Danio rerio: one gene and its partner. The main gene of each other region encodes a partner of the protein of the gene in region 2 in a complex. Links are inferred from orthologs where the notes say so. Each region holds a gene or a part of one and is shown on either strand. Other genes may lie near its edges. The genes, in order: dok7b and musk.

Region 1 (3,830 bases), on a different chromosome or scaffold from region 2:
CCAGGCTTTCATGCTTTTCTTTTTACTGTGCTCTCTTTCTGTCGATTTTTAACTTGCTTGTACATATCCCCAATATAAATTCAGTTTTATTTATTACTGCTGACAAAAAAAAATCAATTCCTTCGGAATAAATTTCTGGGATTTGACTGTAAATTATTATCCCTTAAACTGACATAAATAACATTAAATTTCAATCCGCTTGTTAAGTGGTGACGTGTTTTTGACACATGTAATACTGTTTCCGGGTCCAAGCCGCCATTCACTTGAGTGGAGAAATCACTTTTTTATTCATATTGCACATTAAAGTTAATTTTATATAAAGTCATAGTGTACACAACACTCTCTGGGCTTGCTGCATGACAAATACCAAATTTTTAACAATTTATAAAACAATGAATTACTTTCTGGCCATCGGATATTAGGCATGGACATATATTTTGCGATCGTGACTTTAGAAAGTATTAAATCGCTTTGTAAACGTTTATTATTACCATTTCATAAATCTCCCCATAAAGTTGAATAGAGCGTTTGAACCCGGAAGCCGCTCTGCGTGACGTCACACTTAACAAGCGGATAACAAAAAATGACATCAATTTCCATCTAGGATTGAATGACTTTATATGATGGCTTTTATAATCCTTTTATTGTGCTTTGTATAGTCCTTTGGGATCTTGACAAAGACTAAGAACAGTTTTTAAATGCAAATGAACAACGTAATGATTATTCAAAACATTTGGATGAAAGAAATGACATTAAGAAGAGAAAATTATAACAGAATTTGCATTTACAACTGCATTTTCACTGTTTGAAATGAGTACATTGCTTTAGGTGTATATTTAGTTAATGATTTTTGAATTACCTGCACTGCTGTGGTGACTACAAATGGACAGCATGCTGAGTCTTTTCTCCAGCTCACTAGCCTCCTGGCTAATCCGGTCTTCTATAGACGACGGGTTAGCATTGGGGTCTATGGAAACAGAATTTCATTACATTTGAATTAAACCAATACAGTGAGTGTTCATCATTCATACTGTACACACGTGTGCCAACATAAATCCTTACGGTCACACAGAAAGCACCAGACAGCACTGATTTGTCTCTGAGCATTAAGTCATGTACGATCCATCACTGCTGTATCACTGTCTCTGCTGGTAGAATTACCGGAGCCACTAGGCACATTTATCAATTTCCACTGGAACATCACAGACACAGCCTCACAGCAATAATCTCTCGCATAATGTGGATCCAGACTCACACACTAGACGCTTTGAGACCTCCTTTTGAATTTGCCAGTAGGTTTGGTAATCATTCTCTCACACAATAGAATAAATCAGGACACCAAACACAAAACGCTCAAATTAAACAATAAGTCAGTCAGGGGAGAACAAGTAAATAAAAGCCTCTGGAAAACTGGAACAGAATGTATGATAGAAAAGTTGTTATGGAGGCATTCCTACTTTGCACGGTTTAGCTGTACTGTAGATATTTTTGGCATCTAATTAGCATGGAAAGTCAATTTCAAGCTGGTCTAAAGTAGCGCAAAAAGCTTTCAAGCAATGCCAGTGGCAACAAATAGACTGAAAAATCAATACCACACAAGCAAAAACAAACTGCATGTTGTTTTTGTGCTGCAACCCTTTAAATAAATAAAGTGTGTAGCTTTTGTGTTAAAATACTTCATATTATATGTATGTGTAAATCATTAAATGTTCAGTAACATACACTCACCAGCCACTTTATTAGGTACACCTTACTGGTACCGGGTTGAACCATTTTTGCCTTCAGAACTGCCCTTAATCCTTCATGGCATAGATTCAACAAGATACTGGAAAGATTACACGATGCTCAGTTGGTACTAATGGGCCCAAAGTGTGCCAAAAAATATCCCCCACATCATCACACCCCCACCACCAGCCTGAACCGTTGATACAAGACAGAATGGATCCATGATTTCATGTTGTTGATGCTAAATTCTGACCCTACCATCCGAATGTCTCAGCAGAAATCGAGTCTCATCAGACCAGTTTTTCCAATCTTCTATTGTCCAATTTTGGTGAGCCTGTGCGAATTGTAGCCTAGCTTCTTGTTTTTAGCTGACAGGAGTGGCACCAGGTGTGGTCTTCTGCTACTGTAGCCCATCCACCTCAAGGTTGGATGTGTTGTGTGTGCAGAGATGCTCTTCTACGTAGCTCAGTGGTAACGAGTGGTTACTTGAGTTACTGTTGCCTTTCTTTCAGCTGGAACCAGTCTGGCCATTCTCATCTGACATCAACAAGGCAATTGCGCCCACAGAGCTGCCGCTCACTAGATATTTTCTCTTTTTCAGACCATTCTCTGTAAACTCTAGAAATTGTTGTGCGTGAAAAAAAACAACCATGCCATGTTCAAAGCCACATCAATCCCCTTTCCTCCCCATTCTGATGCTCGGTTTGAACTGCAGCAGACTGTGTCCATGACCATGTCTCCATGCCTAAATGCATTGAATTGCTGCCATGTGATTGGCTGATTAGAAATTTGCGTTAACGAGCAGTTGGACAGGTGTACCTAATAAAGTGGCCAGTGAATGTACTTTTTTTTTTTTGCTTGCACAGATAAAAAACAGTGCTGTATACAAATATTAATCACATTATTTAAAGGATTTCATTCTCCTACTTTTTTCTGCTTTTTTTTATTCTGCAGACTATATAAAAACAAATTGACTGATTGACAGAAGCTGATTTTGCAATCAGTGCCCTGCACATCTTATTTATCACTGGCATTATGAACTCATGCTCAACCTTTATTGAATGTCAAAGGTTAAAATACATCAAGTGCATGTAATTAATGACATTTAATGACAGCTAAAACAACTGTCCTGACAGCTTAGCATGAAGTAAGACAGACGAGAACTTAATGTAACGTAACATCGCATGAATCAGAGAATTCAGTGACTGTGTTGTCATAAATACTAAAGTAAACTGATTTTGATTTATGCATTTAGACTTGCAGAAGGCAATCACTGACAATGGTGGAATTTGAGGGCCAAGCATTACTGGAAAACATTTTTCGCCATGATTGCAAGCAATTTCCATTATCAAAAATGCTCAAAATGATTATGTTCGTTGTTGGTCCACAGAAAAATATCTTTATTAAAATATCTTTTAAGGCACAGAAACATGATTCTCCCTCGGACTCTTTTCCTTGTCTGAGAATTTCTGTTACAATAACAAACTTTAAATGTTGCAGTTTTGAGTTTATATATTTTTTATCTGAAATTCTGTATTTACATTATATGGTCTCAGATTTATGACTTTATTTCTTGCAATTGTGTTTTAGCAGTTCCACAATTCTGGCTTTATTTTATGCAGTTCTGACATTGTCTAACAATTAAGGGTGCACAAAAATTTTGACTGTGAAAAAGGTTTAGCTTAATGTACAGTAAATGGTCTCGAATAAATCTGATAGCTCTATTCTATGGTTTATAGAGCATACTGATGACTTTGATGAATGATAATGATACATTTATTCTATTACATTTAATAACACTGTATATGTTATATTGTGTTACTGTCAATAAAAGTGGTTAATTAATTGGATTAAATTTTTTTGAATCTGCAAAAAGTAATTAAATTAAATGTAAAATTTTCCTAAACATCTTTATATTATTTAATAATAAAATTATTATAAAACTTTTGGTTTTGGTATTCGACCATGCACATAAAAAAATTCCTGTTTTGGACCAGAATTTTAATTTCTGTAAATTCCTACTTAAAATATTGAGTTCTCTCAGAATTGCAAGCTAAAAATTGTGAGATACTAACATAAAACTAACAATTCTGTGGAAAATAATC
Region 2 (4,608 bases):
TTGAAGGCAAGTTCCAGTATAAAACAATTAGTTGCATCACAAGTTATCCAGAGTTTCATGCAATTTCGGGTGTTTCATTTTTAACTTTCGACATCTGTTGTAAGTTGATACCGCATGGCGAACAGAAAGAAAATACTCCGCATTTCGTGACTCGGTGTTCCTTTAAGGTAAGGTTCCTTTTAAGGCTACATGGTAGAATTTTAATAAGAGTATTATCTTAATCATATTAAAATCGGAGTATTGGTGTCTTATGTAAATGTACTCAGAACGTCTGGTGAAGTCGCGAGCTGTCAAAGACAGGGCATTTCTCTGCCTTTCAGCACGAGCCCCACAAGTTTAGCATGTTTCCTCATTAAACGCAACGAAAGCGTATGCTTCGCGTTGTTGTGGCAGAATCCTTGTGAAATACAGTAATACTTTAGGACGCTTAGTTTAGGACGCTTAGCAAATTTGATGAACGTGATCATGCGTGTTGAATCTGAGGGGAGTCGCTCCAGTATGGAAGGCCGTTGGGGCCAAAACGTCTGCAGCGCGTTGTGTGTGTCTGTCTGTGTGTGTGTCTGTGTCAGGCCCGTTGAGGGGTGTCAGGGATGGAGTGAGCGACATATCTGAGTAGGGGCAAGAGGGGTGTGCAATGTATTTAACGACCGGTTTGCAAGAAATTATCATTAATTTATAGGCATTTGGGAGTCTCTGTGCACTTGCGGGATACTCCTAGTCTTAGCAACTGGATGAATGTAAAGGAGGATTAAGCAAAATGACTCTATAATTAATGTTCTCAACTCACAGCAATAAAACTTTACAATGAATGCAACAGTTTGTATTCTATAGTTTATTATTATAATTTTTCATTTTCCATATCTGCAATTCCTGTATTTTGGCATTTTTTTGCAGTCCACTTAGAATCCAACATGGAAATCATGTTTTCTTTATTGGCATTGATTGTTTTGAAATTTAAATGTCTTTACTCTTACTTTATTTTTTTTTTTTTAATTTATACGTTAGTTAGACAACAGACATCAAAATATTTTTATCGAAATAGGTTTTGCTGAGTTATTTATTTGTTTATTTTCACTATAACTTTTGTTTTACACAACCAAGGTTCATCCAGGTTCATACCCTTATATACATTTCTGGAGAGCACCAAATACGTCCTAGGAGATATGTTATTTTCATATGTTAGTTTTCGCGAATCCACCAGAGGCTGCTGTGTGCACTTTTTTTGAAATCTCAAATTTTTCTCACGAGTGTCATTTGTGCCTGCTTTTCTTTTGTAAATCCAACAGAGGCCACTGTCAACTGGCTGACTGACAGATGGACTTACCCTCCTTCCCTAAACCTAACCAATAGTGTTTTTAAAAGCACCGACTGACCCGCCCACAAACTTCCCTAAACCCAACCGATAGTGTTTTCAAAAGCAATCCAGAAAAAGAAGCCCTTGCGGCAGCCTGATTTTTACCACAGCCAAGATTTAAACCTTATTATCTTAATTATCTTGTTTTTTTTGGCTTTTGGTTTTGTCTTACCTGCTTTCTGGAACCATTCTAAACCAGAGTCAAACTTCGTTGTCACAGTCAACTCTGCGTCACAATTCTGCCAACGTATGCAGTGAGCCACTGTACAAACTGGTAACAGCAGAAAAGTTGTTCACACAAAGGTAAGCAGTCAGCTGGTTAAGCGCGGAAAGAAACAGCGCATCCGTTTTAAAGACTAAATTAAACTAATTCGCAATCTCCAGAAATGTATTGGGCTTCATTTTCAGAATGAGTCTATGTTGTTTTTATACGTTTTTGTTGTGTTTTTATTTTCTTGAAATATTTAGTTTGCTTTTCAGTTTAGTCATTGTGTGTTGTTAAACACATGAAGAGTTTAGATGCAAAAACTTCTAAAAGCCATTTGATATTATTTCTATAATTAGCATTTTGCTCTGACTCTTGTGTGTAGGCTCAGTAATTTTACTTTTATAGTGATGAATAAGTTCTTTTCATTGCCTTTCAAGTGAAATAACTGAACATAAACATAGGAGGCTGATAAAAAAATGCTCATTTAAGGTAAACATTTCCAACGTTTTTACATCTGAACTCCTCACATACAATTTTATTTATATAATTTGTATTTAGTTTATTAGCAATATTATTTAAATTCCAGACAAACTAAATCACATTAAGACACAATTTTATGGCAGCCAGCTAAAGTAAACTTGGAAAGAATATGTGTATGATGTAAATATTTTATGTTAATATTTTATTTAATATTCATGTCTTATATTATATATGAATATGCATAAACAAAACAAAATACAAACTACTGTTTTAGATAATAATTTAACAACGCAAAAGTTTTTGACCATATGTAAAAAAAGTTGAATATATATATATATATATATATATATATATATATATATATATATATATATATATATATATATATATATATTTCCAATTTGCTTTCATTTGATTAAAACAAATACAAATTGCTGAGAATTTTACAAATCATTTGAATTTTTTTTATTAAATTCAATAAATTTATTAAAATAATGAAATAAACTATTACATTATATTTTTAAATCATAAAACAATTTTTTTCATAAAATAAATCACAATAAAAATGCAATAATAAACAAATAGTAATAATAATAATAATAATAGTAATAATAGTACTTGTAGTAGTAAAAATAATGAACCCACATATTCAATGCGTCCACACTATGAAATGTGCAAATCAGCAAATCCTAAGTCATAATTTCTAAACAATAAACAAGCAGCCCGAGTTCACCATGTGGTTATTGCTTGCACAACACAAGTTAGCTGTTCATGTTTCAAAAGCTGTGACTCACCTCTCTGGAGCCCTTCAGTCAGGCTGAAAAATGCCAGAAAAACTACCAGAGGAGTGTTTTTCGGGACCTTCATGTTCACCTTAAAGCCTTCTGCTTCAAATCAGCTTTAAAATCCATTGGTCAGCCTCGTATCAGAACTCTGAAATGAAGTCCAGCAGATGGTACAGTGTGTATGTCTGTGTGTGTGGATGTGTGTGTGCATGTGTAGAAAGGCCTTCGCAGTGTTCGTGCGGTCAGCTGAGATAGACAGGACCAGCTGCTGGATACACTTACAGGAATATGAGGGGGATGAGATACAGAAAGTGCCTTGAAAATACCAATAATACCATTTTTTATACAAGGGAACATGTTGTACTTTTGAAGTTTGTAGATTTTATGTGCAGCTGCTGAATTCAGAGCTTATGATTTGGCTTGAAAAAACATAGAAATAAAACCACAGTCTGTGTTAACCCTGTAAGGCTGAAAATTAGAATTTTCTGGAATTGAGATGTTTATTTCACCCTTTAGTTAAAAAATAAATAAATAAATAAAAGCCATATACATTTTTCTTCATATTTTTGTAAGATTTGATAAATCAGGCATTTGTTTAAGTTTTTGCTCACAACAAAGTTAATTTGAATTACAAAAAATATTTTGCTCTTAACATTTTGACAACAGAGAATATTTAAGACATTTTTTTCTCTTTCTTTTTACCTGTTATCTGCTTTACCTGTTGTATATCAAGTCATTTACAACAGGGTTTTAAACAAAGAAATTATCATGTTGATATCATAGTTCTTAGAAACGTGTGGATAAAATATGATAAGTGCGGTTAATATACTTAAATGTTCTTCTTGAGTCTGAATCTATCAGAAGTGTAACAGTTTGGTACGTAACTTGGTTTCAAACTCACAATATTACTGTATGTTCAGTATAGCAAAAGGGGGAAAAAAACATAAAAAGCTTCAGTTTTAGTTTATGAATGATAAACTATTGATGTTTATAATTTAAGTCACAGTCTAAGCCAGAAATCCTAAAGTACATTTCAGCTGTCTGAGTTTTGTCTCAGAACTGCAACTTGTTTGTTGTGCCCAATTCAATTTTCAAATTTATATACTTTCTAATAGGGGTGTGACGAGGCGCTTAATCCATGAGACAAGACTTGACATGAGATTGGGTTCACTAGAACGAGACAAGATTTTTACAAACTATTTTTATAACACATCTTCAATGATAAAAATATATGAATGGAAAGCAGTCTTTTATTCAACAACAACAACAACAACAACAATTACAAATTGCAAAACTATTTAACTATTTAATTTTTTTTAATTAAACTTGTAATTATTGTTATTTAACTTATATGTTAATGGATTCTGTGCAGTAAAGGACATACAAACACTGCAAAATATTTTGCTAAGAGCCTATGTGAATGGAAAATAGACATTTTATTTATAATTTAAAATATTAGGAAAATATTTGCTAATATATGAATGGAAAATAGATTTTTATTCAACTGAAAAAAATCATGAAATGCAAAACAATTTAGGTGTTTTTTTTTTTATTTTTTATGAAATTGTGATGGTTGGTATTTTATTTCTGTTTTAATGAATTCTGTACTGTTGGACATGCAAACACTGCAAAATGTTTAGCTAGAAACTCTACAGACTGGCTTCTCCCCTGTAGTTGCTACTCCCCTGTAATTTTTGTAGTATTTCATTTTTATTTTTTCAGCAACTTCAGTTTCATTCAGCAAGATTTTGTTCATGCCTCCGTGAGTCGTGACTCACTCT

The links.
Region 1: the proteins of musk (region 2) and dok7b are in contact, whole or in part, in a crystal structure (PDB 3ML4), measured with the Mus musculus proteins. The link is inferred for Danio rerio from reciprocal best matches to the Homo sapiens genes MUSK and DOK7. Residues at the interface, in NP_035074.2 of Mus musculus: Leu547, His548, Pro549, Asn550, Pro551, Met552, Tyr553, Gln554, Arg555; in NP_001335203.1 of Mus musculus: Leu154, Ser155, Asp156, Leu157, Arg158, Arg159, Tyr160, Gly161, Gly172, Thr173, Arg174, Ser193, Asp197, Val200, Arg201.

What each region holds. Positions count from the first base shown.
Region 1 is NC_133176.1:44,247,707-44,251,536, forward strand, and holds part of dok7b (protein Dok-7), read right to left. Parts: intron 968-3,830; coding exon 860-967; intron 1-859. UniProt on the Homo sapiens protein: Probable muscle-intrinsic activator of MUSK that plays an essential role in neuromuscular synaptogenesis. Acts in aneural activation of MUSK and subsequent acetylcholine receptor (AchR) clustering in myotubes. Induces autophosphorylation of MUSK.
Region 2 is NC_133185.1:15,375,271-15,379,878, forward strand, and holds the start of musk (muscle, skeletal receptor tyrosine-protein kinase isoform 1 precursor), read right to left. Parts: upstream 3,043-4,608; 5' UTR 2,910-3,042; coding exon 2,837-2,909; intron 7-2,836; exon of another isoform or gene 1-6.